2 linked regions of the Drosophila melanogaster genome follow. The protein of the gene in region 2 purifies or fractionates together with the protein of the main gene of each other region. This does not show direct contact. Each region holds a gene or a part of one and is shown on either strand. Other genes may lie near its edges.

Region 1 (16,147 bases), on a different chromosome or scaffold from region 2:
ATTTGGTTATTGTTTCTGATCTTTTTTCAAGCCGATTATAAATAATTAAAAGTATAAAAAAAAAAAAAAAACGGTCGCCCGAGGGAAGGGGTTGCAAGTAGTCACTACGGGCAAAGAGTACTCGACCCTAATGGGGGTTTGATATCGACCATAAACAAAACGCCCATTAGTTGTCATGTTGGATGGAAAGTGTGCCGCTGACGCGTGCGACCTTCAAGGATATTCGCACACTCGCCAAGCTGCAGGAGAAATGAGAAATGAGGAATGACTTTGTTTCAAAGGATATTTGCATACATAATTCGAGTGCGGCTGCGCCGAACCCTTGCCCAAATGAAAACATTTAAAATGTTTTGATTTCATTTATGTTAATTTCCAGCCATAAATCACAACCGACCGTGTGCTTCCTGTCGCATCCTGCAACAATATTTGTCCTTGCTGTTTGATTAGCCCTTAGCCCGAACCCTCACTCGCATGCAAATGAGAACTCTGTGGAGTCGCTGGCTTTGCTGCTCATTTGGTGTTATCCTTGGGTGCCGAGGGGAGGAATCGGAGATCGCAAAGGTATTATGCAAATTAACTGATGCTGATCCCATTGTTGCCGGTGTAATTCAATATTCGCGTGAATAAGTGCGCGAATATAGGATATCTAATCTGAGGTTTCGCAAATTCACATTTGCAATTCCAGAGACTAATTTCGAATGCAAATGCTATACGGTGGCAATTTGTTAATGCAGATTTTCGCAAACTAATGAAACTCAAATAGAGGTCTCAATTTATGGTTAGATGCCATATATGGTTATATTCAAAATATAATTATCCTATGTAGTATTACATTTATTTATTTAAAATCAGTTTAAAATTTGCAAAATTTGTAAAATACATTATTGTAGCTTTGTGGATAATGGTTCTTCTGCCAATTGTTATCCATTTGATAAGCCCGCTGATTGGAAAAGGTCAGGTCACTTATGCAGCCATCTACCAGCATTTGACTGACGGACTTTTGCAGTTGACATAAACCGACGAACTCAAGTGTGACTTTTTTGACTCTTCACACATCATAGACGGATCAGCGGAGAAATCAAGACCGCAGCTGCAGCTTCGGGGAAAAACGATTAACTATTTACTTTATAGTACACGCCACATGAAACGCCTGCGTCAAAGGCCACAAAGGCGTGTTGCCACAATAAAGCGCCTGGCGAAATCTCATCCGAACCTATTTAGCAGTGGCCACTTGAAAGGACAATGGCATCGCATCAAATGAGGCGCGCTTAATGTGGCTTCAATGAGTCCTGGACTCGAACTCGGAGATCCGAGGAAGCGACCTGAAAAATGCGAGTGACATGCGTGTCCCGCAAATTGTGCGGCCTGTTAATGGTTCGACCTCGAGTTGTGGGGTGGGTCAGCGTGACAGATTCCCAAAAACAATGTCGTTGAAATATTGTATTGTAAACCGGGTCGAGTTATTGTAAAACTCTGGTATTATATACGATTTATAATTTTGTGTTCTCTTAAAAAAATGAAAGATAACAATAAAAAGGTGATCTACAGAAATCGCTTAAACTAAAAATTACTTGCAGTCTAAAACAAGTACGAAATTATGTTTTATGCGTAAAACATAATAGAATGCCCATATATATATACATTTCTTCATTTTTCTTTTTTGTACTTTTCTTTTATACTTTAAAATTAAAAGTTGCTACAATAGTAACACTAGTTATGATCTCCTGCGCCACCTAGTTAAAAAAAAAACGACACTAGCGACACCTGGTGGATGAGTTTGTACTGTGTGCGGTATTTAGGCTAGTGCTAAAATTTAGAAAATACTTATGGTAGTATATTTTATTGGTACGAACGCGGTCACACTGGGGATGTGCAACAAGTAGAAATTGCCGCATAGTTTTTTATAGCGAATCGCGAACACATAACTAACGGTGCATGATCAAAGTTCGTTAAAAATTAAAACAAATAGTTATCGTAAGCAAAAAGTGACTATCTTATAAGATCGAACTGAGAGCAATGTCGGCAACGAGGTTTTTGAGTGCCGTTGGCCAAATTTCGCGACAGCAATTGCTGCAGAATAAGTGCACCAGAGGTGGGTTAATTAGAAGTTCTGCTATGAAAAGGGAAAGTGCAAATTGCAGGCCATAATTCTTCTACATTGGAATTTGGCCCCTTGGAAATGGGCAGTACTCTAGCGGTATCTCTGTCTCTCTCCCGTTCCCGTGTTAGCTGAATCTCCCCCGATGCCGCATAACTGGACTTTGAACTTTGTACTCTCCCTTGACGTATAGCTTCTGTCTCTCGCTTTCTGATTTCCGATTTCGAGTGCCGTGAGATAATGTGCACTAATCGCAAACAACAATCTCTTAACCCCACGCAGCCCTGCCCATTTCGGCCCAGCTTCTCCAGAGGCGCCGCCTAATGTCCACGAATCCCGCACCGGTTGCCAACAAGCATCTCCACACCAAGGTGGTCAATGGAGTGCTTGTGATCAAGATCGACTCACCCAATGCCAAGGTGAATTCCCTGGGCTCCGAAGTGAGCGATGAGTTCGAGCGAGTGATTAAGGACCTGGAGACGAATCCTGCCGTCAATTCCGCCGTGCTGATCTCGGGCAAACCGGGCTGCTTTGTGGCCGGAGCCGACATCGGGATGCTGGAAGCATGCCAGACGGCGGAGGAGGCCACGCTGATCTCCCACGGCGCCCAGGTGATGTTCGATCGCATGGAGCGCAGCAAGAAGCCCATTGTGGCCGCCATCAGCGGAGTCTGTCTGGGTGGTGGTCTGGAACTCGCCCTTGCCTGCCATTACCGCATTGCCACCAAGGACAGCAAGACCAAACTGGGTCTGCCCGAGGTCATGCTGGGTCTCCTGCCCGGCGGCGGTGGCACCGTCCGCCTGCCCAAGCTTACATCCGTGCCCACGGCTCTGGATATGGAGCTGACAGGCAAACAGGTGCGCGCCGATCGCGCCAAACGACTGGGCATCGTGGATCTGTTGGTGGATCCCCTAGGTCCTGGACTCCAGCCTGCTGAGCAAAACACTATCGAGTACCTGGAGAAGACCGCCGTGCAGGTCGCCAACGATCTGGCTAGTGGTAAACTTCGCGTAAGAAATACTAGTTAATCCCTTAAAGTCTTCATCATTAATTTGTTTTCCACCGTATCCACACAGGTAAATCGCGAGAAAAGCGGTCTCGTCAGCAAGATCCAGTCCTTCGTCATGGACACCGACTTTGTGAAGAACAAGATTTTCGACACTGCCAGGAAACAGGTGCTCAAGGCCTCGAACGGTCTCTATCCCGCTCCTCTGAAGGTTCGATATTGAACAAGCAATTCTCATATTTGTAAGTAACCTATAACTTCAAACAGATTCTCGATGTGATCCGTGCTGGCGTGGATAAGGGAACCGATGCCGGTTACGAGGCGGAGCGCAAGGGCTTCGGCGAGCTATCGGCCACGCCCGAGTCGAAGGGTTTGATTGCCCTGTTCCGTGGACAAACGGAGTGCAAGAAGAACCGATTTGGCAAGCCAGAGCGTCCGGTTAAGACTGTGGGTGTGCTGGGAGCTGGTCTGATGGGCGCCGGTATTGTACAGGTCTCCGTCGATAAGGGATATCAGGTGGTGATGAAGGATGCCACCGAAGCCGGCCTGGCTCGTGGTATTGGACAAGTGCAGAAGGGTTTGGAGACGGCTGTGAAGCGCAAGCGAATCTCTGCACTGGAGCGCGATCAGACTCTTGCCAGTCTGCGGCCCACTCTTGATTACAGCGACTTCAAGAACGCAGACATCATCATCGAAGCTGTTTTCGAGGACATCAAGGTTAAGCATCGAGTGATCAAGGAGCTGGAAGCAGTGGTTCCAGAGCACTGCGTCATTGCCACCAACACCAGCGCCATTCCCATCACCAAGATTGCTGCTGGAAGCTCGCGTCCCGAGAAGGTTGTTGGCATGCACTACTTCTCGCCCGTGGACAAGATGCAGCTGCTGGAAATCATCACTCACCCAGGAACCTCCAAGGACACCATCGCACAGGCCGTGGCCGTCGGTCTCAAGCAAGGCAAGGTCGTTATCACTGTTGGTGACGGACCTGGCTTCTATACCACCCGCATCCTCTCCACCATGCTGTCGGAAGCCATCAGGTAGGTTTGCATTTTAAGATGACTAGTGAAATTGTTTATTATACTCCCATATTTTATGTCAGACTGCTGCAGGAAGGCGTGGACCCCAAGGATCTGGACCAATACACGAAGAAGTTTGGCTTCCCCGTGGGTGCTGCGACCCTTGCGGATGAGGTTGGCATTGACGTGGGTTCCCACATTGCCGTCGACTTGGCAAAGGCATTCGGCGAACGTTTCAGCGGTGGAAACTTGGAAGTAATGAATGATCTGGTCCTGGCTGGTTTCCTCGGACGCAAGTCCGGCAAGGGTATCTTCCTGTACGATGGCCAGAAGAGGGGCACTCGTCCAGTGAACAACGATGCTCTCGAAATCGTGAAACAAAAGTACGCTTTAGTCTCAAAGGGAGCCAATGCCCCCGAGGATCTGACGCTGCGTATGGTATCCCGCTTCATCAACGAAGCCGTGCTCTGTCTGGAGGAGAAGATTCTGGACAGTCCGCTGGAGGGCGATGTCGGAGCCGTGTTCGGCCTGGGCTTCCCGCCATTCTCCGGTGGTCCCTTCCGCTGGGTCGATCAGTATGGAGCCGGCAAACTGGTCAGCAAGATGCAATCCTATGCTGAGCTGTACGGAGCTCCCTTCAAGCCCGCTCAGACCCTGCTCGACATGGCTAAGGACCCGTCGAAGAAGTTCTACCCCAAGACTGGCTCCTCGAAGTTGTAGATCCGATCCAATCCGATCCCAGCCTCCGTAGAGCCGCTAACGAAATTTAGCTTTTAGTGCGAAGATAAGTCGTGTCCTTGTGCATTTCTCTCAGAAAGGAAACCTATTGTGGTCCATCGCTGCCTAAAAAATGGGGCAAGGCCCAATAAAAAGCCCTCTGTTGAAGTTGTCGACAATTAAATTAAAGTTTACCGTGTAATTTTCCATACTTTCATTTGTTTATTATTACACACAGCAGTTTGATATCGATCTATCTCTTTATCCCTCTTTGTTTACTCAAACGGAAATTCATTTGTACACAGATTCTATAGTTTAGGTTTCAATAGCAGCGTATATACAGTGTCCTTAAACTAACATATTTTCGAAGCAGCCATTTTCTAAAATCTTGAAATCTATTTTCACAATTCCTTAACTGCTACGTCAGAACTAAATGGCTTATAAGGAGACCTCATTACTTCTTGTTCGTTGAATGTGTTCGATTTCGGAATAGCTTTAAATGTATATATTAGTTGTTCATATATATATGTATATATTTGGTCATGCAAGTTCTTGCAGCTCTTTGTAAATGGACCATTCATAATGGTTGGTCAAAATCGAAACAATTCGCGGACTTGAAAGAATTGAAGGCCTTTGAAAACATACCCATCTTATTGAGTAGACACAACACATTAACAGTGAGCGGACTGAAGTAGCTCAGATTCGAATTAGTACCCATTCCAGCTTCAGATCCCCCTTAAGCTTCTAACTAAACTTATCCTATCCCTAGTTAAGGATTAGTGACTTTCCGATACACTTTCTATTCCTTTATTGTTTCCTCCAATCGCGTCCAGAGCTGCGCCTTTGATGCTTAACAGATCCCCCATTGCTGCTACCGCCACTTCCGTTGACTACGCCAGATACGCCTCCTCCGTTGCTGTGATCCTGGGCGGGATATCGGGTTACAACGTCGTCAATTAGCTCCAGAATGCCAATCTTGAACTTGCGACGTTGCTGTGGAGTGAGAGTCGCCAGATCTGGGAGAATGCTGCGGAAGAACTCCATGTCCGCCACTTCCGACGAACTCAGTCCGCCGTAAATACTTCCTGCATTCGTCATCGTGCTGGTGGCCTCGCATTCCGTCTTGATTCTTTTCGTGCTCCCCGGTTCGTAGGATGCTGGGTGATGATCCATGGACAATGTCAAAGGATGTGGATGCGAGTGCGGATGGTAGTGCAGAGGCGGTGGTGTGCCATGTCCACCATCGCTGTAGATGAGTTGCGAGCCCGTCTCGGCCAGCTGCACATCTGGAATGAAGTTTTTCATGCTATCCGCACTAGCGGTATCGCTTCTGGCCGGTGAATTGCCTCCGCCTCCTTGAAGGGCAGAACTGCGAGTGGGCGTGGACGAAGTACGATTCATACCCAGGGTGTTGGTAACCGCGGGATCAAAGGCGTCGATGGTCTCCTCATCGTCCTTCTCCGATATCGAGTACTTCATCTCCAAGACCTCCATACTCTCACCATTATGGACGTCGTTGTTATTATTATTATTATTGATGCTAGTGTTGGCGCAGTACTTGTGCTCCTCGGTCGCATGGAGTGCTGGATGCAGGAGAAATGGTTGATGCTGCAAATGCTGCTGGGACATCTGGTACAGAGTGGCCAGACTGTTGTTCCCCTCCAAAGAGTTACGGCTGGACTTCAGGAAGGGCAGCAGGAACGCCATGTGCTCGGTCAGGTAGTATGGCTTGTGCTGCGGCTCCGATCCGGATTGCTGCTTTATGTAGCGGGATAGGCAGGCCCGAAGGTTTCGCCATCGCTCCTTGCAATGGATCACTAAAGATTATGAAAGTTCTGATTAATTTAAGGGATTAATGTTTTTCCTATTATTGCTTACCGCTTTCTCTTGTCTCCTTTGAAATAAGCACCCAAGCCTTTTCCTGATTATCCCTGTAAAAAGTTATTTAAATTAGTTAAGACTGAACGTACGGAACGATCTGGATCGTATCTTCTGGCAGCCGATGGACTCGCCACTCACCTGTTGCGGTACTCGGGCACCTTCTTGTCGTAGAGACACTTGTGGGTGCGCACCAGGTTGACGAAGCGGATGTTGAAGTCCTCGTCCGCCTGCATCACTCGGTTGGTGGATCCAATAGAGGCGCCTGCTGTTCCGGATCCCGAACCCGTTGGACTGTGGTGGTTGTAGGCGGTGGTGCCGTTGGAGGTTCGCTCCTCGTGCTCGCTGCTGTGGTTGTTGCTGCTGCTGCGGGTTGAGGTGGTCATATTCGTTGGCGGTATCGTCCCTCACAGAGCCACTAAAAGATACGTTTTAAATTTGAAGTCTATTTAGAGAAATGTTAAAATAAACAGCGATTACCAGGGGTTTGAACGGGTTTGCTGTCATGTTGCACGTTATGATCTCAAGAAATGGCAACTTCAAGTTAAGTTAGCCACTCCAATATTTGATTTTTAGACTTTCCTATCGATGTATGTATGTACCATACATACATATGTATTTATATACAATCCTATTTATTTTTGAGCTGGCAAACAAACAGAATTCTCAACGACTCTTTTTCAGCTTTTTTGCCTTTTCTGCTGGGGTTTTGTGTTCGGTTTCTTTTCGTTTTGTCGTGTTATTTGTTTGTGTGTTGGTTTCTGTTCAGTTCGGTTCAGTTGTGTTCTGTTCAGTTCTGTTCCGCTGTCTGTTGCTGCTGTCTCAGCAAACGAGGCATAGAGCTTTTCGCTCATATATATTTCGTGAAACTTAATAAAACATTGTTGTAGCCGTGGCCGTTGTTGTCGTTGTAGTTGTAGTTGTAGCTGTAGTTGCCATTATATTCAGTACAGTTTGGCTAGCTGGATAGGATAGGAAAGCATTGCGTTGCGTTGATGTTGACAACTCGGCGGCGAAACGACGACAGCCAGCAACTTTGTTTACTTTTCATATTATTATAGCCACAGCAGCGACAATGGCAGCGGCCATAAAAATAACAGGCAATCTGGCTGTTTGTGCTGCTTGTTTGTGTTTTTGTTGCCGTTTGTTTCTGTTGCTGTTGCTGCTGGCGTCGAAAGCTGAAAGCTTTTGTCTGCTTCACTGATAACAGCAACAACAGCACAACTAAAGCAGCAGCAACAAAACAACAGTAACAACAACAACAGAATGCTTCAGCAACAACAGCAACACTCTGCTGCAGCAGCAGCAATTCAGTGCAGCAAGCAATGTTGTGTTGCAATATCCGAAAACATGTTGGCCAAAACCAAATCCGCTGAATAGTCACGAATATGTGTGCGAGTACCCACCGCACTCACTGCTCACTACTTGCAAACGATTCGCTCTCGCACCTGCGACTACCTGTTTCGATTCTAATCAGCCCACTCCACCTGTCCATTCACTCGACTGCCTACCCTTTTGCCGTCAGCCCCTTTCTATCGCGGCGACACTTGGGCCGCTCTTAAATCTCCGACAGTTTTCCCGCCACTTTCAGCACCTTTTGGGCCCACCAGTTTTGCAAAGCGAAAAACGTGCGCACAGTGGGATGGAAGTAATCGAAAAAGGGCATTACCAAAAGTATATCAAGGAAAAATATAATAACAATTTCCACATTGCTTGGAAACCTATTAGATGGTATTTTATATGTATATATATATTTTTTGGACATCTGTAAGTAAATCTCTGGAAAATCGTAGGTAATAATTCCCTTCAACTATTAATCTTAATATCAGGTTCAGAGTCCAATAAGTTTTCTATTTTTTCGGACATAAAAAAGTAGCAAGAGAAAACTCTAGCACTCTAAGCTGAACCAAACAAAAAATTAATATTGCTTTCCATTTTCGTAACACTTTGGTCCCACTGTGCGCTGGCAGCATTGTTGTGTTCTTTGGCCAGTCATCATTATTATCAGCGAACATCATTATCAAGGCGAACGTTGCTCGCGTGTTTTGGCTCTGCCCGTTGTTGTTTTTGTTAATGTTATTGTTGGATTGCTGTGTGCGGTGTGGGCGGGGGGAAAATGGAATGGAATGGGAATGGCGACTGGAAGGGGCAGAAAAACAACTAACCTGGGCTATATGGCAATATTTATTGTATTACGTCTATTTAACATAAACATATCAGCATGAGCGCGTACTAATTCCTTGAGAAATGTTCATGTTTATCTATTAACAACGGGGCTCAGCAAAAAGTACAGCAACGTACAAATCGAAAAACACAGAATCAGCAACAGCCAAACACAAAACCCAACGGAAAACAAAAACAACAACAAAAAAAAAGAATTTATTTCTAAAGCTAACAAAACACAGAAAACTTGCAGAAATACCCGGCCCGCTCTTTGTTTCCCTCCACCAACAAAAATACATACAGTATATTGTATATTCCGTGGCCCAATGACAGCAACAACAACAATCGCAATAACTTTGTTAGATAGACAACAACAACAACAACAATACACACAATACACACACACATTCACAGGCAATCGCACACAAGGAAACAATATGGCATATAGAATTTTTCTTTCTGCTGCTTATCAGGCTGTTATTGTTGCTGTTGTTCCTAACTTGTGATGTTGTTCCAAGCAAAGAATTCATTACCTTTTGGTTGGTATTCGTCGTTGGATTACAGAAAAACTCCTGTTGCAGAGGCGATTTCAAAACGCAACAACTCCTTGCTCGCAGCGATTTCAAAACGACACGATGCACGGCACACAAATAAAACGGCGCCAAAAATATTTTTGTTGCTGCTGCTGCTGCAGCGACCGACGACTGACGTAACGTTCAAAAATGTTGAATTCGAAAACTCGCGGTCGAGTCGACGGTGCACGGCGCTCGGGAATCGGCGGCGGACTGTTGGATTGTTGGCAATGTCGTATGTTTCGCGTACCAAGCGACCAAGGCGACTAAGCACACAGAGAAAAACACACAGACACAGCCACAAATGCGACTGCTGCCCTGCGAGAGCGAGCGGTGCACTGAGAGAAATAGAGTTGTCACTTGGCAATTGTGAAATGTAATATAAAGATGTTTTAAATTGGTAATGTATTATTAGCCCCAAACTTAATTAAAGGGAAAAATATAAAATTATTTGCAGACTTTATTAATGATCCATGTAAGCGGTATTAATTTAATAGTTATGAGGTTCAAACAAGTACCAATTAAACACGTATTCCCTCAGTGTATCAACCAGTATCTATCGGCTACGTAGAACACTGAAGCAACAGCAACAACATGACACGAGTGGACGGCGAGCAAACAGAGAACAACGCACACTCTCCGCCGCACACACACAGATACTAACACGGACACACACCAATGCGCCAATACAAACACACACAGCTGGCTGCTCAACAGCAGGGAACTTTTTATTGTTGTTGCTGGCAACGAACAACAAATAAGACAAACAATGCACACGCACACGAATGACGAGTGTTTTCGAGTCGGAGAAACGGCAACTGCGCGGTACGAAATGCAAAGATACAGATACAATGAGTTGGTTGTCGGTTGTGGAGGGTAGGAAAGGGACACAGGCCAACAAAAATAGTTGCACTGCATCAAGAGTGTTGCCTGTCGTTAGAGGCTAGTCACCCACCCCGAAAGGATCTCTCAAAGGATCAGCGGACTACTAGGTAATCCTGATCGAAATCGATTGATTCAAATGGATTTTCAAAAGATATATCATGTTCAAGATCTTTTTGTTGGGCAATACAATTTTTACATATGTATGTTGATTGTTATGTTGAATATAACTTCAGGCTTATTATTACTGTCTAATGGTAATGTTTCTATTTATTTCCACGTCCATTAACATGTATAATTGGTTTTCCCCAAAATATGTTAGTGAACAGGTGACAGTCGCAAATAGAAAATACACATTTTTTACGCTGTAACTCTGACAAAAAAAATAAAACACAGGAACCCAAATAGTTTACCTGAAAACTTACCTGCGAATTTCCAGTGATCATAATTCCATTGTGCGCTTCTTCTTCTTCTTTGCTCTAACTCTCAGGGAACATTGAAACAACAACAGTTGCTTACTCAGCACCGCACACAAACATAAACTGCGCTCTCACGGACACTACAACAGCTGTCGCTCTCAGAACCAACAACAAAGCGAGCAAACAAAAATCATGTTGTTGTTGCTCACAAAGCTTTGCAATTTCTCTGCCGCTAACATCGCTGCTTTTGTGTAGTTGTTGCTGCCGCCCGAGTTGCCAACAAGCTTTCCAACAACATTTGTTTACATTTCAAATTTATTAGGCGAGCTTTTCGGACATTTGAACAAGCTTCGTGGGCTACTCGCTAGGTGGCGCATGCTACTTCCGGTATAGATTTGAACAGCTATTTTTTTTAATTTACTTCAGAAATAAAATAAGCATTTATGCATATTTAAATATAAATAGATAAATATACCTGTTTCAGTTTCGTTAGAATGCACAATTTACTCTTGACTAAATGACTTCCGAGCAAACAAAATATTTAAACAATATTGTTAATAAAAAATAAGAAATGATTACTTAAGCTCTTACGTTTCCCTCCAACGGTCATTTGATATGTCATTATCCAAACACTCATATTGTTATTCACACGCGAAAAGCTCGACAAAGCTCAAAAGGACTCACTCCTTAGGCCAAAACTGTCAGGGTTTATGTATTCCGCCTGACAGCAGACCACCAACCCAGTTATTTCCAGCACTTTAACGATTTGTTTACAACTTTGTTGCCCTGCAATTTACCGCTAGCATACGGACCTGCCAGCCAGCCCAGCTTTTCACCCCTTTCCGACCGCTTGGAAAAGCTTTTCTCGGCGGGCAGGATGTCTTGTCCTGCGTGTGCTCAAAAATTCAATAAAAAGGAGGCTCGTTTCTGTTGTGGCCTACATGCCACAGCAAGGACGAGCAATCGGTTACCGAGCCGAACGCGGCCCGAGGAAAACTTGGTCACCGGGTGGGTAATGGGAAATGGAAAAGGGCCGAAAATGGGGGCGGGTGGCGAAGCAAGGAGCAAGGAGAGAGCTTCCAAGTGCAGCGGAGCTCAGTTGCCATAGGACAGTCGAGGCGAGTGCTCGTCCTTGGTCGCAACGGGCTCCCGGAAAAGCGGTCCATCGGCTGTCGAGTGTCATTGTTTTGGTTACGCGACTGCCCCGCTAGTGTTGGTGACCATCTGTGTGCGCTTAAAAATATATTCGACATGAATTATTTACGCAAAACGAGTGCTGGAAAGTTTTGAAAAGTGCGGAGAACGAGTGCGGAGTTGAGTAAGCGGAAAGTTTTGACTCGAAGAACACTTTGTCTGACAATTTGCAGCGGCATCAAGGATGCAGTCTCCTTTGCACTGGGATGAAGAATGCATTTTCCGAAGCGCAGTATGTGACTCTTTCTCTTTTCAGTGAAAAACCCCCCTCCATTTTCGCGCTCTGTCGCTCTCTCTCTCTCTCCCGCTCGCTTCCTATTGTTTTTCTCAGAGTGTAGAGTTTCGATTTCGTTAGAAAATCGAAACAAAAGCGAACCAGGCTCTCGAGGAATTGTGGGAGTCGTTGCTGCGGCTACCTGTAGATGCCACATAAACACACACAGATACGAGCGCAAGGATGCGAGTGTGTGCGAGTCCTTGAACGAGGCTTTCGGTTGCCCACCCACATGCCACATCCGTATCCGTATCCATGTCCATGGCTGCCTTTCACTGCCCGCTTCCGACTCTAATTAACTTATGATTCAAGGTCCAATACGCTGCCACTGAAGGTTAAACATGACGACCCAGCGATTTTCGGTGGGGGTTTTTTCGTAAGAAACTTTTAAACAGCCCGCTGGCAGCTGTAATTGAGCGAATTCCGCGGAAGCTGCACTAAACTTTTACCAAGAATCGGCAGGAGTCAAGTTTTTGCCGCGACCTAACTCGAAAGTCGTGTAATGCGATAAAGTGGAAACTTAACCAGGGATCATCTAGTAGTTAAGCGCACACAAGTCGTAATTTTATTTGGCTGCCAGGACCCCAGAGACTCGTCGGCAATTAAGGCTGGCCAAACAATAAGCCACTGGGCGAAAACCCAAAAGGAACAAAAAAACAATTAACGTTCTAGAGTGGAAAACCCGCATTACGCATACGCCACGTCGGCAGTCTGGCAACTTTGAGGTGCGACCTCCGGGGGCTGTGGAAAAGTAGCGGGGGCGCCGGAAAAGCTCTTTCCCGCTGACCACCGGCGGTGCCATCATACTCTCTCACCTCCCCGAGAAAAATCCCGCCCCAAAAAATGCAGCAGAGAGCGGTTTCTTGCCGCTTTTTTTTTTTGTTTTTTGGCTGCTCCGCCGAAAAACATTTTCATTTCTCGCCTGAGCAGAAATTTCAATGATTTCCCTAGCTCAGTGTGAAACGAACCAACAACTCAAACGAAACGAACGCAAACGCGCGCGCGAGAAAAACAAACTAGAATAGAATAGAAGAAATTAACCTCTCCGCCGAAAAGGGAAAACCCCCAAAAAATATATAAAATAACACACGAAACGCTGAGGTCGGGGGCCCTAACCCAATGCTAACTGTAAACAATAATCGAACAAACGAATTTTTAAATTAACAGCGAATGAGTAATACCTGAGCGATTTATTAATCAGAAGCCGTGCGAGCAACAAAGAATCCACAAGTAGCTGGCCCACGGATAGATAAATAACTGCACAGATAATTGCTGGTACACGGTACTGGGCTCTATAAATAGCATCGAAATAATCGCGGAGACAATTGCAGGGCACTGGTGCAAAGTGAATGCGACTGAGTGCTGCCGGGCGGAACGCCGAGGATCTGTGAGTAGATAGAATAATATCCCCCAAAACCGCCGCATCCCGATCGCCTGGCTGCGAAATCGAAATAACAAACTTCAGTCACCTTGCGTTCTGCGTCACACACTCGGATACTTTGGGGAATGGGAGTCGTGTGGCATGGGTGTTTGCCTTCTCCATCCTCGCAACTACAGTAGAGCTTCCATGGCTTCAGCTGCACCTATTTCAAATGTCTGAGCCTATTTTGTATTGTAATTTAACTACACATGCTATTTATTTTCTGATCTTCCTGGTCAAATATGATATATTAATTAGTTTTTTAATTATCAATTCAAATTTTTATAGAGGTCATTAAATCTTCTAGTTCTCAGCACTTCTTCAATGGGATATTTATTTATATTTATTTAGCATAAAAGCTTTAAAGTGTACACTCAGTGTGAAGCTTCACTGTATTTGCCATTTGCCGTGTTGTTACTGCTGGTACTGGTACCACACGGCGTATGGGTGATGGCGAGCGGGCCAGCGGTTGGATGAGTGGTGCACACTTTTTATAGCCAGCAACAGTCACACAAGCCGCACAATCAAGCGCTCGTCTCGGTGTTTATGTCAATTTGAATTTTGCATGCGGCCAACAAACTTGAATGTGTCCTTTATGTTGGTGTTGTTGCTTGCGTTCTGAAATGTATCGGTAGGAAAAGGAGGTGTGGAAATGGGGGGGGGGTCGGTTTGGGGATACCGGAAGCTAACTAGAACTGCGCTTCATTGCAACTTTGTGTGCGACCTTTTGGTTTTGGAATGTGTGGGCAGTGGGCGGGGCACTTGTCGGGCGGAAACGGATATCCCGTGTGCTCTTTGCCTAGTTCGCCATCGCCGCCAAGCGCGTCTCCTGTTTGTCATTTCATCAACCTTCTTCTGGCTCCTAGCAGCTCCTCCTTCTGGTGTCCTTGCACATTTGCTGCGCAGGAAATTTTAAATCGAGTATGTGCCCACGGGTTGTCTGGTTGCATTTTGCTGTTTTTGCGGCTTTCTTGTTTGCTCTGCTTTCTGGGTGAGTCCTGATTTTTTTTCGGATTTCCCATCCTGTTGGCCACTGGGTCAGATTTGTTAGTTCACAAAGTTCACAACAGACGCAATAAAAGGAATTTTTAAAGCCACATTAAGATGGAACTGAAACTTTAAAGATTTTTCAAAAATTGTTTAAAAGTATAATTTTTCCGCATTTTTAAATGCTCGATATTTTTTGCAGTGTGTCGCGTTGGGTCGAAATGTATCTTCTACACGGCAGCAGAAAGAAGCCAATGCAAATAGCCTGTCGGGGGAACAGACCCACAACGTAGAAAAGAGGCGGACTGGGGGAATTGTTTCTCCGGTGGCTGGACTGCTCCTGTTGCATATCCCGTCTCCTGGACTCGTCCTGCCACTCGGTGGCTCGTGTGTCCTCCCCCGCTGGGCCTAGTTGCTCATTCTGGGCGGCACAACTTGCATATTTGCCAAGATTTATGTCTGCTGTCAGACACACGCACACTCATCCACACATGGACTTTATGTAACAGCTCCCAGGAGCAACCTAATTTCCGTTGCCGCTGCTGGTTAAACAAGTTTCAGCCACTCATTGCACATCCTGTGGCCCCTTGTGAACTTACCAATCGGTGTCGCCACGCAGCAGGATGCCGAACCTACTCCGGATTTCGGATTTTAAATTCCAAATTCTCGACTAGAGGAAAAATCTGTGAGTTCGCGTATCTGTGCCAAATGGTTGGCCTAACTGGCAGCATCCACGAGTGCGGTCCTTGCCTTCGAGTTTTAGTGTTATTGTTATGCCTAGTTGGTGTTGTAATCCTTCGGCCTTCACTCCCACCCACAGGCATAAATACATGCCGGTATTAGGGGCTGCTACATCCCATAAACACCTAACGTCGGTGCTGATGTCGATTGCTGTTGTCTCCCCCGACTTTTTGGCTTATCGCGGACATCCAGAAGCACCGGGGTTTAGGATGGCCACTGCCCTATCCGCACTTGAGGATAATAAATTAGGAATTCAAACTTTTCGTAACCAAATGCAAAGAACTCAGAATCAATTAAGTATAACAATCATAACAAGGTGTAAACTAATGATAGCTTTTAGTTGAGTGCCTTGTACCACCAATCGGATTCACCTTACTATAATTCATATTCAAATTTTCATAGACAATAGTCGGCGGGCACTATTGTTTCGCCCGATGGTGTAGATGTATCTCAGTGTGAGTGCGTCGGGCAATTTCCCTGCGTAAGAGTGTTGGTTGACTTCAAGCAGCCTCAAGTTGCTGTCGCTCGTTGTTCTCGTTATTCTTATTATGTCAACCACCCAACCACTCCCCCTCATAACTGCCATTTGCGTAAGTGTAAGTGCATAGTCGTGTATGAGTGTGTTAGGTGCATGTGTGTTGCTTCTCAATCCTTTTGTATTTGCCACAACAATGAACGTTGAACATACACACACACACGCGCAATGGATGGGGCAATGGCAATGTGAGTAAGGCAGACTCGCCACATGTGTATGAATATTTCATTATATATATCGGATTT
Region 2 (14,927 bases):
CTTGTTGTTGTGGCCACCACTCCGCTCGCACTCGGCCGCACTCTCGCAATTGTCGTTGGAGTTGAAGGCGGACGAGAAATCCGCGGCGTTGCGCGACTCATCCACGCTGTCCACCTCGTACTTGAGCGTCTGATCCGGCTCCAAATTCTGTGGGCTGGTGTACTGCTGCTTCCGCCTGTCGGCCCGATCCCGCAGGCCGCCGCACTTGCTGCTCAGATAGGCGGAGTCGGTGGTCTTCCAGCTGTCCGACTTGATCTGCAGCAGCAGCAGCAGGTCGTGCAGATAGTTCACATCCCGTGAGGTAATGCACGTCTGCCCCGAGTACAGGAAGTCCAGCAGGAACTTAAAGTAGGTGGCATTCACGTCCGGAAAGTATACGGTGGTGGAGCAGTCGCTCAAGTGGGTGTCCTCCAGCAGGTTCCTACGGTACAAACGACGCATTATTTCAGTGCAGAGTATGTGTTTTATGTAGATTACCTTATCAACGGACTGGCGGCCGCCAGGACCAACTTGTGGGCGTGCAGCTTTACTTTGTTCTCGCAGACGATGGTCAGGTCCGCCGGGTGCTCCCCTCTGAAGGCTGCTCCGATTTCTTTGAGTATGCACTCGCCATGCTTGCTGTATTGCAACATCAACATTCTTTGAAACTGCAAGTGGAAGAGCAAGTATGTCGGGTATCGTTAGATTTCTGCTATTTCTTTGGCCCAGATCATGGGTGTCAAATTGCCATGAACTGCAGAACAAATTCTCTAGCTCTACTCAATTGTATTACTTGGAAAAACTTGCTCAAATTCTGAGGCGCAATCGCCGAAATAAAGTACTAATTTGTACGTATACGTAATATTCCATTTCCCAACACGCAATCTTGACCTAGGACAAGTAATATTATGAAAACGTTATCAGTAGCTGTTTGGTACAGGAATTCTGAAATTGTTTATGGTTCGATTGTTCTCTTGCGAAGAGCTTGATAGTACGAACTTAATCAACTCATTGAGGAGATTTCGAGCAATGAGCCTTTAGCTATTTTTCACAAAAACTAGAACCATTAGTGTCGTTTAGAAAGTGTGAAGTTACAGTTCCCAAAGTTAAGTAATTTCAAAAGATAATTGGCGATCAATGAGTTATGAGCCGCTGCTTAACGACCGACTTACGGAAGTTCGAGCTATAGAAGTTAAACTGCAAGACTACTTTATGAAGTTATTAACGAATGTATGTGGAGCATGTGGTAAAAGTGGGGCCAGTGAAATAGAAAGTTGTGGAATGGGAAGTCTGCATCTTTTTGCTTTGGTATTACACAATCCGCCTTTCACCGCCTGTGTCGCCCTCTCTTTCTCCCTCTGTGCCCCCTCTCTCTACCACTTTCCAGCGATTGTGTCATGCACGCACACAGGCGCACAGTGCGCGTTGTTAGAAAAAGGATCGTGTAAAGAGATTGGAAAGTGCTTTCCATAACGGTTTAGTGCGACACATTACTGGAATTTCAGCATGTGATCGTGAGTGTGTGTGTGTGCTGGCATTAACAAACTTCCCATAAAGCAATAGTAAATGTTTACTAATCAGGTTTTTAGGTTTTTCTGTACTTGGTGTTTTTGTAATACTGCAACCCACAATCGTCATACATGTGTGTGTGTGTGTGTGTGCTTTGTTGGAAAAGATGAAAGCTTCACTTCATAGAGCTCCACCGTGTTGTTGTTTGTGGTAATGGTGTTGCCTCCAAAAAAGCTTTCCCGCTGTGATGTGCTGTTGTTGTTGTTGCTGTTTCTTTTATGCGATGAAATTGTTACACTGAAATTCGCTGGCCTGTGCAATTGTGTCGTTGTGCACAGGCAGAAAAATGTGGCATCATGCCATGCTATTATGTATAATAATAACATGCAGGTGAATGTGCCATTCAAATTTGGATGGATCATTTACATGTGGATGAAAATGGTAGGCTTAATACATCAAATTCAGCTTTTGTAAGGTTGAAGAGCTGTTAAGTAAACTACTTTCTAGCCAAAAAAAAAGATGCAAATAATAGAAGTCGTTTGAAAATAATGTAAAATGTGTAACATCGAGCTGCCCTTTCTTTCTGTGTAGTTGACTGTATCTGTGTAAGGTCTGTCGCGTTTGCGTGGAAGTGTAGTGCAGCGGGGCTTTTGTAAGTGTGTGCGTTTGCTGGGGGGCCACCATTATTGTATTGTGCAAGAGCATGGCTTGTAAGCTCTTTTCGGCTGCGCGAGTGTGAGTGAGTGTCTGCATGGCACCACGAAAAGTAATAAACCAAAAAGCGAAGCTAAAGTTCAGCAGCAGCAGCAGATCTCGAAAACGGAAAAAACGAAAAACTTCGGAAAGATAGTCTTGCTTTTTGTTACGCTCTGCTGCTTCTCCCCACCAATCCCCGCTCCAGCCCCCTGGCTCCACCACTCCTTTAGCATGGAGACGAACGAAACGTTCACTTTCAATAAAACTTGAATGACTGGCTTGGCGGAGAGCAAGAGAATGGAAATGGGAATGTTGTATTTGGCTTGGGAATGGCAAGCGAAAGCTGAGCATGGATCTTTTATTTTTCGCTTTTTGCACTGCCACTGAAGAGAGGGCGGGGGAGAGCAGGGGCAGGAAAGGGGGGATCTGGTGTGCTCATTCTAACGCTAGATAAATTCCAAAGCGGTATTGACGGAACATACATATGTATATATGCATGTATCTATGAGTGTGTGTGCTTGTATACTTAATGCTTCCACGAATCAGGGCCATTCACTTTCTACAAGTTTCTCGGCGGATTTCGCAATCGAATCTGAATTTGCTTACGAGCAGAGCATGACTAAAGATCGTTACAGCATTTAAGGCAATCAAAAGGTGAAAGTTCATGGTAATAATTCCTTAAATGGAAGACGCTAGGGATCCGTACGTATGTATGTGTTTGTGTATTTCCCAACATTTCTCCGCTCTCTTCGCGAGACTCACACATTCGCACGCACACTTTTGCAAACTGGAAATGAGAATGAAAGGGACAAGGCGGACATGGAGGAGGGTCGAGGGGAGGGCGATACGAAAACAAAACGCGCTAACTCACAATGCGCGCATAAAATCACCTTTCACAAAAAGCTTTTCTCCTCTCTATGCTGTGTATGTGTGTCTGTATGTCCAACGATCGGGGTATAAGCTAAACAACGAAACACACATAGCGACATACAGACGGAGAACGCAATCGTTTGTATATTTCCACACTTTCCGATTTTTGTCGTCGTCATCGTTCCCATGTAATGTAAATGTAGTTTTACAATTACTCTTTCCCCTGCGCATTGTGGTGTCGGTGTATGGGTTTGTTGGTGTGTGAGTGTGCAGATTGCGTGAGTGTTTACGAATGTAAAGCACATGTGTCTATTTCCAAGTGGAAGAGAATGGCAAGGGAACGGAAGCGGGAGCGGGGGGTGAAGAGGGAAGGGGGAACTGGAAATCGAAATGGAACTGGAATCGCACGGATCTTATCCGATCGAAGGCCTCAAAAGAGAAAGCTACGCGGGGTTTTGAAAGTATTATAAGCTCGCGCAAAGGTAAAATGTTAAAGGGAGCGGAGCGCGCGTTCAAACTCGTTTTCCTGCCCTCTCTGTCTCTGTCGCTCCATCGCATCGCATTCTCTTCCTTTCCCGCTCTCTCCCGCGCTGCCACTGCCCCTTTCCCCATTCCCCTTTCACGAAAGCTCTTTGACTTGCTGATCCGAAAAGAAGCGAGGGAAAATGGCAAAGAGTCGCCGTCGCCGTCGTTGTCTTCTTTCGTACTTGTTGTAAATGCTACACTCGTAAAAGTGACCCAAATTTGAATTGCATAACTCCATAAGCTGGGCGATACGGAGAAAGATAGGAAAGGGGCCCGTGAGGGGTTTGCAATGCGCTAGTTTCGTAGACGCCGTCAACGGATCTACGTTTTAAAATATGTATTTGCCAGATAAGGCGAACAGAACGGGGAAATCAAAGATCTCCTCACAATAGCCTTTCCAAGTTCCCCCACCCCCTCCCACGACCCGTTAAACTAAAATCCCCCTCACGCTGAGAAACCCACGCCCGTGGCTTTGCTAACAGCATATTTTGTAACATCTGCGCGATCGTGTAACCGCATGCATGTGTGTGTGTGATTGAGTGTCTGTGCTTTTTCACCTTCACTCTTATTGGAAAGCAGTTAAGTTGGTCGAGTGCGTGCGCCAATGTACGTACATATGTACGCAGATATGTGTCTTCAAATTCCATGACATGCATACGAGCGCACCAATACACGGACGGTATTACGCAGACAAAAGCACGCGATGAAGGTCACTAAGCCTTTCTTGTCTCCAGTTGTTGTTGTTCCTCTGGGTTCAGTTGTTGTTGCAGTGCTAATGATGTTCATGACGACGAAGATTGGATCGCCACGAACCGAAGCTTCGAGGCAAAGTTTTGGATACGATACCATACGATACGATGCGATGCGATCCAAACCGAGCTTGGAATGTTTTCAGTTTTCTGCTTTTCTGTTTTCTGTTTTCTCTACCACTATTAAGTTAGTTTCTGACCTTGGCTGCTTTGTGTGCTTAGGTGCACAAAGAGCCACAAGCCACACACACGTATCGCAGACCCAAAACCCCAACCCCGACTTTTATCTATCTCAGCGATGTTGCAATGCCCAAAGATGATGAAAATCTCGGGGAAAAGCTTGCTGCCGAACGGCAGACTTACCTCTTTCATTAAGTTGGATGTTCAGCAGTTGGTTAATCCCAGGATGAATATAGTCACTGCTATTCACTTGCGCACTTTCTGTTCTGATCGCCTAATCCCTGCGATCGGCCATTTACTGCTGGCTGCTTGCTTAGTGGAAACTTTCGATTTCATTGACCATGGTTTGTTTATATTTTCACAGGAGCAGATTTTAAAATTTCTCTTTGGCTTTTCCTGCTGCCTCTTCTGCTTTTTATGCGACGCAACGCAAGAAATATCCACCAACACACTGGTAACGCTCGCACAAGCACACACACACTCACTAAAGTTCACTACAACGGCACAACTACAACTACAACGTCAACATTAACTTTAACTAGGTTGAAGTTTTGTTTTTTCTTTTTGTTTTATTGCGAAATAAAAAACTTGATTGGTAAAACTTTTTCTGGCGCGAGCGCGACTGCGAGTGGGAGCGGTACGGAGAATCCGATCTCTTGCCTCTCTCTCGATTTTCGATTTCAGCTTCTGCTTTTGCTTTTGCCTTGCTTTGCTTCGCTCTGTTTGTGCTTACACTTTCAGTTTGCGCGCGCGCACGTCCGTTCACTCGGAGCCTTTTTTTTTGACTGTGCGGGATCGGGAAAGAAATTACGATCGCTGCGGCGCGCTGCTCGGTCGATGTATCGATACCGATATCGATAACAGAAAAGCATTCTCTAAGTCTCCTAAGCTACCTTGTAATTTATTATTTATGTTCCAATCATGATTTAGTTTAATATTAGCTAAAATGTAAAAAGACACAATCAATAAAAATACCATTTATATTATCGATAAAAACAGCAATAAGATCTGTATTGGCTTTTTAGATTTCCATTTGGCGTATCTTTCGTTATTTCACAAGATTAAGATTCACGTCCAACATGAAGAACTTAACTGTAACAAGCTTACGCTTTTGGGCTGACCTTATAGAGGCTCGCGATTTTGACGATTCAGACCCAACGTCGCGTAGACAAATGGCGCTGATGATCAAGAAGTTAGCGGAGAACATTTTAAAATCCGCGCCCACAGTACCAACACCACCATCCCCATCCAGCCCATCGCCGAACGAAAGCAATATTTGAGTGAAGCTCCATTGCCACTGACGTGTCCTGGTCCTGGTTCTGATGACTTCCTACTGGTGGCGTCACCTCCACAGCCCACCGACCAGCAACAACAACAATAACGGTTCCTTACAGTGATCCAGCGATCACGGAGATCATTTCACCTGTTAATATACTTTGTTCACCCACTGTAACTGTCTCTCGCGGAGGCGGAGCTTTGGACATTTCCCGACAAAATGTGAGCTTTCGATTATGTTCTACAACTGAAATAAAAAACTTGTTTAAACTTAAATAAAAAATATATAAATAAAAAGGGTAGAAAATCTCAATGCTCAATTTGCATCTGTACAAACGTAGACATTAATTTTACTGGCATGCTAAAGAAATTTCACCTTGATCCCCAATAAGCCGTCATCCTTCCATTATTTGCTTCCTTTGTAAGTCCTTTACGATCGCTCATTTGAAATGCACACGCCGCCTACATTTGCATCCTACCCTTTGCTATCCCATTATAGGAAACCATTAAATTCGTCCTTGAACCTAATTTGTGCCGTTAGCAATAAAAGCAATCAGTGAAACGAATTTGTATGCAAATCATTGAGAAACTAACAATGGTTCCAAAACGACCTGCATTTTATTCATAATCTATTTAAAGTTTAAATTTAGAAATTTGGATGTACATCTAATATGTAAGATTATACAGTACTGCAAGAGTGGCCTTTGGAAGTAATCCTTTCTTTCGCCCATTTGCATACAGCTAGTTGCCTGCTACAGTTATCACTTGCATTGCGGTTCAAGGACATGGTTAATGGTCTTCCATTGTGGGAAAGGGTATACAGACTGTAGGTGACGAATGAGAGCGCAGATGGACATCGTAAACAGCACGCTTAATAGGATAATCAAGATCAAGGTCATTGGAGAAATCTATTCCTTTATGGGACTCCCAGATTGCGTTGCATACATTTGAATGAAGGTGAATGGTGTAGGAATAGTAAACGATTCTCAGAAGCTAAAAAATTTAGAACTGTATATTCAAATATAACCAAGAAATATATCTAAAGTTGGAAATGAAGATCTACCGAATTTTACAAGCTGTCATGCTTTATGATCTACGAGTAAGATCCTCAGAAAGGGTATTTACAGTTCGAAAGCTTTTCATGCATCAGCTTTCGATAACCGATAGTTCGCCGCGATCCGGCGTTCATGTTCATCACTAGCCAAACAGCTGCAGTCGCAACAACGAGAAAAGCGAGAAAAGAAATCAGAAAACTTTCGCAAGATGAGCCTTCAAAATGTCTGCCGCAAGGGTAACGCCTTCAACCTGTTGAATGTCGCCAGGAAAGGTGAGTTAATAGTGCGGGTGTTGCAGTATGCCCCATTCCAAACACGGGCTGCACCAGTTGGACTTTGGCTCTGATAATTCATAACGATTTGTGGCAGCAGCAGCCGATTGAATCTGAAAGGGCCAAAGTCCAAACTCGAATTCGCAGTGACGTCTTGCGGGACAAAGATAATGTATGGGTACATCATGATTAAAAATAACGCGAAACGAGAGTGCTAAGGATAATCCCGAATCCGGAACCCTTTTTCAGTTCAATGCCGCGCTCTATCGGCCGCTGTGGCGAATCCACAACCGAAGCAGAAGAACAGCCAGAATATCGTGCTCGTGGATGGAGTCCGCACACCCTTTCTGACCTCCGGAACCACCTACTCCAAGCTGATGCCCCATGAACTGGCCAGGCACTCGCTTTTGTAGGTTTACAATCCCCAATATCCTTGGAGTATTAGCTTACCCCGCCCCATTCAACAGGTCATTGCTGCAAAAGAACCGCCTGGACAAGGAGCTCATCGACTACATCGTGTACGGCAGCGTCATCCAGGAGGTGAAGACCTCCAACATTGCCAGGGAGGCAGCCTTGGCAGCTGGATTCAGCAACAAGACACCTGCCCACACCGTCACCATGGCCTGCATCAGTTCCAATGCGGTAAGAGCCTCGCCCAAAGTTCCTCGGAGCTTGAATCTATAGCCCATGTATTACAGGCCATCACCACGGGCATGGGTCTGATAGCCACCAACACCTACGATGTCATCGTTGCCGGCGGCGTGGAGTTCATGTCCGATGTGCCCATTCGCCACTCCCGCAAGATGCGCTCCCTGCTCCTGAAAGCCAACAAGGCAAAGACCCTGGGCCAGCGGCTGGCCCTGCTGTCCACCTTCAGGCCAGACTTCCTGGCCCCCGAGCTGCCCGCCGTTGCGGAGTTCTCCTCCGGCGAGACCATGGGACACTCGGCCGATCGCTTGGCATCCGCCTTCAACGTATCCCGGAGCGAGCAGGACGAGTACGCCCTGCGATCCCACACACTGGCCAAGGAGGCCCAGGAGAAGGGCTACTTCACCGATCTGGTTCCCTTCAAGGTGTCCGGCGTGGACCAGATCGTGGACAAGGACAACGGCATCCGCGTGTCTAGTCCCGAGAGCCTGGCAAAGCTGAGGCCCGCCTTTGTGAAGCCCTACGGCACTGTGACAGCAGCCAACGCCTCCTTCCTCACGGACGGAGCTTCTGCTTGCATTATCATGACCGAGGAGAAGGCCAAGCAGCTGGGCCTCAAGCCCAAGGCCTATCTGCGCGACTTCCTGTTCGTGTCGCAGGATCCCGTCAACCAGCTGCTGCTGGGACCCGCCTACGGAATTCCCAAGCTGCTCAAGAAGGCTGGACTCACGCTGAAGGACATTGACTCGTGGGAGATCCACGAGGCGTTCGCCGGACAGATCGTGGCCAATCTGAAGGCCCTGGACTCCGACTGGTTCTGCAAGACTTACTTGGGCCTGAACGAGAAGGTCGGCACTCCCGACCTGTCCAAGTGGAACAACTGGGGCGGTTCTCTGTCCATCGGCCACCCCTTCGCCGCCACAGGAGTCCGCCTCTGCATGCACACCGCCAACCGCCTGGTGCGCGAGGATGGCAAGTTGGGCGTGGTCGCCGCCTGCGCGGCCGGTGGACAGGGCGTGGCTATGCTCATTGAGCGCTATCCGGGCGCCACAGCCGACTGAAATCGCCAATTAATCGACAAGGAGGAGAGTGCAGTTTAACTGCGAGATTGCTAGCTTTTATACACCTTACAACTACGTCTATACGAATAAAGAAATCTGAATTTTACAAAACAGTTTAATTTCTAACAGAGCACCAGCCTTTCAAACAATCATTAGATGTGTCTAACTAATCCTATTCGGTCTCGTAGAGCTCCTTCTTCCGCAGCTTCGCTTGCAGAATGTCGTTCTCGTTGTAGGACAGGTGCAGCGGGGGTATCAGGGCGCAGGCCACCATTCGGTTCTCGGCATTCAGGAAGTTGAAGGTGGCACATGCCTGCAAAGAGTGCCATTCAATATGGATATAGATCGGGGAGTGATTAATACCTACCTGCTCCGTGCGCAGGATCTCTACGTTTATCTTGTACTTCTTCATGAACTCGATGATCCTCTTGGAAAGAGCTGGGGGCGGTGCTTGGTCGCCAATGCCAATGATAAGCACGTCGATCTTTGGCTCCAGGGTGGGGAAGAGACTGAGGCTGTCCTCGTTGATGTCCTCAAAGCTGTTGACGTTCCAGGACAGAACCGATCTGTAAGTAGTAAAACATAAAATTAAACTTTAGCTTCAGATAGTAACTTATGACATATTAATACTTATAAACAATATCACTATTAAAAGCCATCGAAAGCTTATAACTTAAACAAATAGAGGCTATAAGGTAAGAAGTTATTGAAATAATTAAAATTTAAATTAGCATTCAAAAAGCCTTTAACAACTATTGGTAGTTTTTACATCAACATTTTTTTGTATGAAACTTTAAATGAAGAAGTCATTCTCTTTGACTTTTCCCAATAAATCCTTGACTTCTGTTTAATAAACTCAAAGGCGTGCATAACTAAGCTTGGGATTGGGATTGTATGATCATCAGAGTGCCATGGCATAAATCACATGCACTTGTTTACATAATTGGGTGAGCCAATGCATCCGTCGAAGGCCACCTACCTGGGAAACACGGAGATGGGGCCAATGAGGACCATGTCGTTGTTGAGCCGGAAGCCGTACTGGCTGTAGCCGGTGACCATAAGGCCCAGATCCGTTTCGGTGTTGAAGATGGTGACTTTGGTCTTCCCGTCGTGGTCGTAGGCCTTGCTGAAGTTGGCCGGAATAGCGTGAAGTGGGCGACAGGCGGTGATGCGCGGTAGCAGAAGGTTGCGACCTTGCCGGCCCACCGTTCGCAGGGTGCGCGCAATCATGGTCTTGTGTTAGAAAAGTAATTAATGGCTATTACAACAATTTAAAACTATCAAAATAGACTGAAGTTGAAAAGTTTAACCGGTTAGAGTGACCGGAGGTGCCCAAAGCGCGCGGGCCGAATGTTATCGATAGCGCTGGATTCCTCGCTGGTGCACGATATTTTGCGCGACGCTGGCCACACTGGTCGGCCATTAATTTACGAAATTTACGAACAATTAACATAAACTTTTACATTTATCCGTGTGTTTTAGCAATAACTATCTATCTATGTGCTATTGTTGACTACGTCTAAGTGCCACAGTGTCTGCAGGCTGCAACTCCAACAAGTTGCTCGCATTACCCCATCGCAGTAATAAATACTGCAATGTTTTGATACAGTCTATATTCGTTTTCAATGATTCAGCAAGGCGGTGAGTGCCAATTCCCCCAACGCAATGGCCGCAGCTATCACCCATATCACCTATATCACTTCGATCGCCAATTCCAGCCCATAAATGGTTCCATTACCATATGCCCACTTATCAGGGAGCACCCCTCCACCAACACACGCACGCCCAATGAGTGTGTGTGTGTGTGCTGTGTGTGTGATGGATTGCTGCGTGCACGCACACTCCTGCAGCCAATTAGAAGCCCCGTTAATCGGCATTGGCAGTTAAAAGGTTACTAATAGCGCCTATAATTCCCAGTGCCTCGCCAAAAGCTTCCGCAAATACCTGCAGATAGTGGAACAGATAGTGCGCTGCTTCGGCTGGGCGGGCTGAGGTGGGGTGTGTGTGTGTATGTGTGGGTGCCCAAGTGGGCTGATTTAGTCATCCAGTACCAGTAACTGACCATATTGCTCTATTCTCCCCGCCTCTTTCGTCACTGCGGTCGCTCCCCAAAGTGTCAAAAATTCCTTCGATAAGAACGCATTGCCAGTGGTTAGTTGTTAGCTTTCACTCTTTGATAGCTGAGCATTATTATGATCGCATATACGATTTCAGAATTTCAGAAGGGGATTTCAAAACCCTGCATGTTGCTTGCCAAACTTTTTATGCCGTGCGCGGCTTATCTTGACAACTACTTCGCTTCGATAAACCATATTGATCAGCTTCACTTCTTTCCGCCCCACAGCTGCGCCCTGAAATCAGCCCGATAAGAACTTAGTGTTAAGCGCTACCTCAAAGTGTCACCATGATCGGACCCAGTTCGCAGATCAGCAAGATCCTGCTCACCCTGCTGTTCCTGCTGATCATCTTCTACGTTTTCATGGACGTGGAGCTCTACCTGCGCATCCACAACTATGCCATCGAGAGGAACTATCACACGAATGTCTCGCTGCCCGCCTCCGTCGTGGGTCCGTCCACCTCGGAGTCCGGGTCCGGCAGCATCGGTGGTAGCAGCAGCAGCAGCAGCAGCAGTAGCAGCAGCACCAGTACGAAACTACCCACCGCCGGCGACCGGCAGCCGTCCTACGAGGACCACACCTGGATATCCTGTGATATAAATCCGCTTTGCCATGTGACCGTGAAGGCCATTCTGTTGGACCACACCAACCACTACCTGTTCGCCCCGCTGGCCACCATGTTCGACAACGTGATCGGCTTCTCGCGCTCCACCTTCATCACGCCCAACATGATATCGTTTTTCCATGTGGGCGTGGCCTGTCTGGCGGGCAAACTGGTGGCCTCGGACAGCCTGGGCTATCGGCGGCTGGGCGTGCTGCTCTTCCAGATCCGCACCTTCCTGGACGACCTGGACGGGCATGTGGCGCGCGTGCGCAAGCACATACGCGGCGAGCGCTCGGAGATCGGCACCTCCGGCTACTATGTGGACGGCCTGTGCGACGGACTCGGCTGCATTGCGCTGCTGCTGGGCATATTCTTTTACCTGAAGAACAATCCACCGCGGAGGGGCTACTCGATCATACCCATGAGCGACTCCAAGCTGCCGGAGCCCACCATGATGATACCGAAGATGAAGGCCACCACGCGCAAGGTGGCCAAGAACGTGATCAGCTTCACGGGCCAGCTGCTGCTGAGCTCGACGGCGTGGAATCGCTACATTGCCGTCTACCAGAACATGCTGGAGCGCGAGGACGTGAGCGGCAACCAGTCGCATTGCCAGGATTACGTGTTCAAGTCGACCTGGTTCTTCTGCGTCGCCTGGATGTGGCGCATCGTCAACGTGCACGCCCTGCTGCACTGCGTCCTGCTGAGCATCTTCTGCGACAAGCTGTGGGACTTCCTGCGCGCGATCCGGTACAGCGGTTACATTATCCTGTTAGTTGCTATATGTTTAACTGAAATGCACATTCTGGAGGCCCAGAACTACATTTTCAACTCTACGGCGTGCAGTAATATTTCACTGTGATTTTACTAATATTACGAGAAAATACAATAATATTTGTGTAGTGCAAATCAGCGATGCCTTTTTTAATTGTGTATAAATAATAATGTATCATAATTGTTAGCCAATCATTAATATTTCGAAACCAACTAATGCATTTTGTCATTCAAGCGCGGTCTGCAAGAGCAATCGAAACTCCTTCAGCTGTAAATAATAAATGTTATTGATTAATAAAGTCTAGCTGTTTTTATCGTACGCATTTCCATGGCGAGCTAATTTCGTTTGAATTTATTTATAATGTTTTGTGTTTCGAAATTTCAAATGAACACGATGCGCAATGCTGCCAAGTTTTTTTTTGGTATAGCTGATGGGCAGCACTGCAAGGTTTGGTATTTTATTCGACAGTACCAAATGCCAATATAATTGCCATATTGTAATGTAATATATTGCTTAGATATTCATAGTGGCAATCAACGCTCATATAGTTTAATAAAGAGGCTATTAAAATTTATGTGACAATGCACTGTTTTAACTAAAAATAATACACTTTTAGTATATCTACCCGCCGGCTGGTATTTCTCACTAGCCCTGTTCGGCCACACTGCGCATACGTCAGGCGATACATACAAAGGAAAAGAAAATCAAAACGGAAAGCGAGAAGAAATGCTTCACTCGTCGTTTGAAAATTTGTTAAGCTGTCAATTGTAAATATTACCTGATTCCTATTTCGCACCGATTGAAAGTGGTTGTGCATCGAAGCGTGTGTTGTGTCAAGAACCGAGCGTGGAACGTACAGTGAATACCTGATTTTGCCTGGGTGTGAATCGAATTCGTGTGAGAGAGCGTGCGATCTGAGATCTGGGATCAGAAATCTATATCTACTTGCCATACGCAGTCAGAAATTACAGCAACCAACTAATCCCTGTCAATAGTGTAAGAATTGTTGTGTAACCAACCATCTTTTAGGACCGCCAAACTGCCTCCGTCTACACATTATGTCCTCCCCTCGACGATTGCGTTTGTGTGCGTGTGTGTGTGTGCCACACACTTGCACTCACACACAGACGACAGGATTGGATATTTTCAATTTATGTGGCTTTCATTCATTGATTTTCCAATTCCTGCCGCGATTCCACACTCACAAACGTCAGTTTACTCGTATTAAGTGGGTGAAATATCTGTTTTCTTGAGTAGTTCAAAACATATACATATGTATGCCATACATCGTAAACTTGGGATTGGGTATTCTTCTTTTGTTTATTAACTAAATGTACGTAGAATAGGCATTTAGCCGATGGTGGGACATAAGTAGCGTCTGATTCAGAGAATTTTTAACTAATAATAACGTAAAGAAACGCCTAAACATGAACACTAATAATATATGAATATGTTTGTAATACTTACTAAAATTATATCATCGAAATTACAAGAGATAGAAACATTGTTTATTTGTCGTTTTTAGTAGATTGACCTAGTGTAGGATCCTTTTTGTTTTGGCTTGGTCCCACGAGCAATGTGTGTATAGAGTGGTTCGGGGCAACCTTTTTGTGTTGAATATTGTACCTTGGGATGCATCTGAATAGAACGGATGAACTGAGTGAGTGCATTCATGAATGCAGCGATGCAGAATATGTGGGATGCTTCCGTTGACTGAATGACATGGTGGATCATTTCTAGAGCGAAGTGTGAGCCCCTGCGGCGATAGAGTTCTTTAATCCCCTCCTCGTTTCTAGCAGCCTTCTAGGAAATGGATTTCGTTCAAGTGTCGGAGGAGGAGGGCGACGAGCCCATCGAGCTGCCGGCTGAGGAGGATGGCACTCTGCTTCTGTCCACACTGCAAGCTCAGTTCCCTGGATCCTGCGGTCTGAAGTACCGCAACCTGGACACGAAGGCTGTGCGCGGAGTTCGCTCCAACGAGGGCAGACTGTTTCCGCCCAGCGTGGAGTCCGGCTGGGGCGAGTACGCTTACTTTTGCGTCTTTCCCAAGGGTAAATTCGAGTTGTATGACTCCCTGTTGAACCTTAAATAATTCTGTAATCCCCCCCTGCAGAGAACAAGCGCAAGAGCGACGATAACTTGGAGAACTCAACTGCCAAGACCAAACGCATCGAGACCCGTCTGCGCTGCACTGATCTCATCGTGCTCGGCTTGCCGTGGAAGACCACAGAGGAGAGCTTGCGTGAGTACTTCGAGACCTACGGCGAGGTGCTGATGGCCCAGATCAAGAAGGACACCAAGTCGGGCCAGTCCAAGGGCTTCGGTTTCGTGCGCTTCGGCTCTTACGATGCCCAGATGCGCGTGCTCACCAATCGCCATCTGATCGACGGTCGCTGGTGCGAGGTTAAGGTGCCCAACTCGAAGGTAAGTCCTCTTGTTAGCCCTGCAATTTCACGCCTACTAATCCTTCTATTCTCATAGGGCATGGGCCACCAGGTGCCTTGCAAGGTGTTCGTGGGCCGCTGCACCGAGGACATTAACTCGGACGACTTGCGCGAGTATTTCTCCAAGTTTGGCGAAGTCACTGATGTGTTCATTCCCCGGCCCTTCAG

What was found.
Region 1: the proteins of Mtpbeta (region 2) and Mtpalpha purify together in Drosophila melanogaster (affinity purification with mass spectrometry, with the first as the bait; one large-scale study listed by BioGRID). This does not show direct contact.

The regions. Positions count from the first base shown.
Region 1 is NT_033779.5:9,562,463-9,578,609, reverse strand, and holds Mtpalpha (mitochondrial trifunctional protein alpha subunit), read left to right. Parts: upstream 1-1,840; 5' UTR 1,841-2,016; coding exon 2,017-2,092; intron 2,093-2,229; exon of another isoform or gene 2,230-2,380; coding exon 2,381-3,108; intron 3,109-3,174; coding exon 3,175-3,315; intron 3,316-3,371; coding exon 3,372-4,141; intron 4,142-4,203; coding exon 4,204-4,840; 3' UTR 4,841-5,037; downstream 5,038-16,147. Other genes in the region: brwl (brickwall), read right to left, coding at 5,645-6,654, 6,716-6,768, 6,857-7,101.
Region 2 is NT_033778.4:23,860,645-23,875,571, reverse strand, and holds Mtpbeta (mitochondrial trifunctional protein beta subunit), read left to right. Parts: upstream 1-6,968; 5' UTR 6,969-7,046; coding exon 7,047-7,110; intron 7,111-7,359; coding exon 7,360-7,519; intron 7,520-7,577; coding exon 7,578-7,752; intron 7,753-7,808; coding exon 7,809-8,819; 3' UTR 8,820-8,924; downstream 8,925-14,927. Other genes in the region: ken and barbie, read right to left, coding at 1-421, 478-647, 4,692-4,700; CG5569 (uncharacterized protein), read right to left, coding at 8,992-9,132, 9,187-9,385, 9,799-10,049; Cpes (ceramide phosphoethanolamine synthase), read left to right, coding at 11,224-12,402; TBPH (TAR DNA-binding protein-43 homolog), read left to right, coding at 14,126-14,366, 14,429-14,739, 14,797-14,927.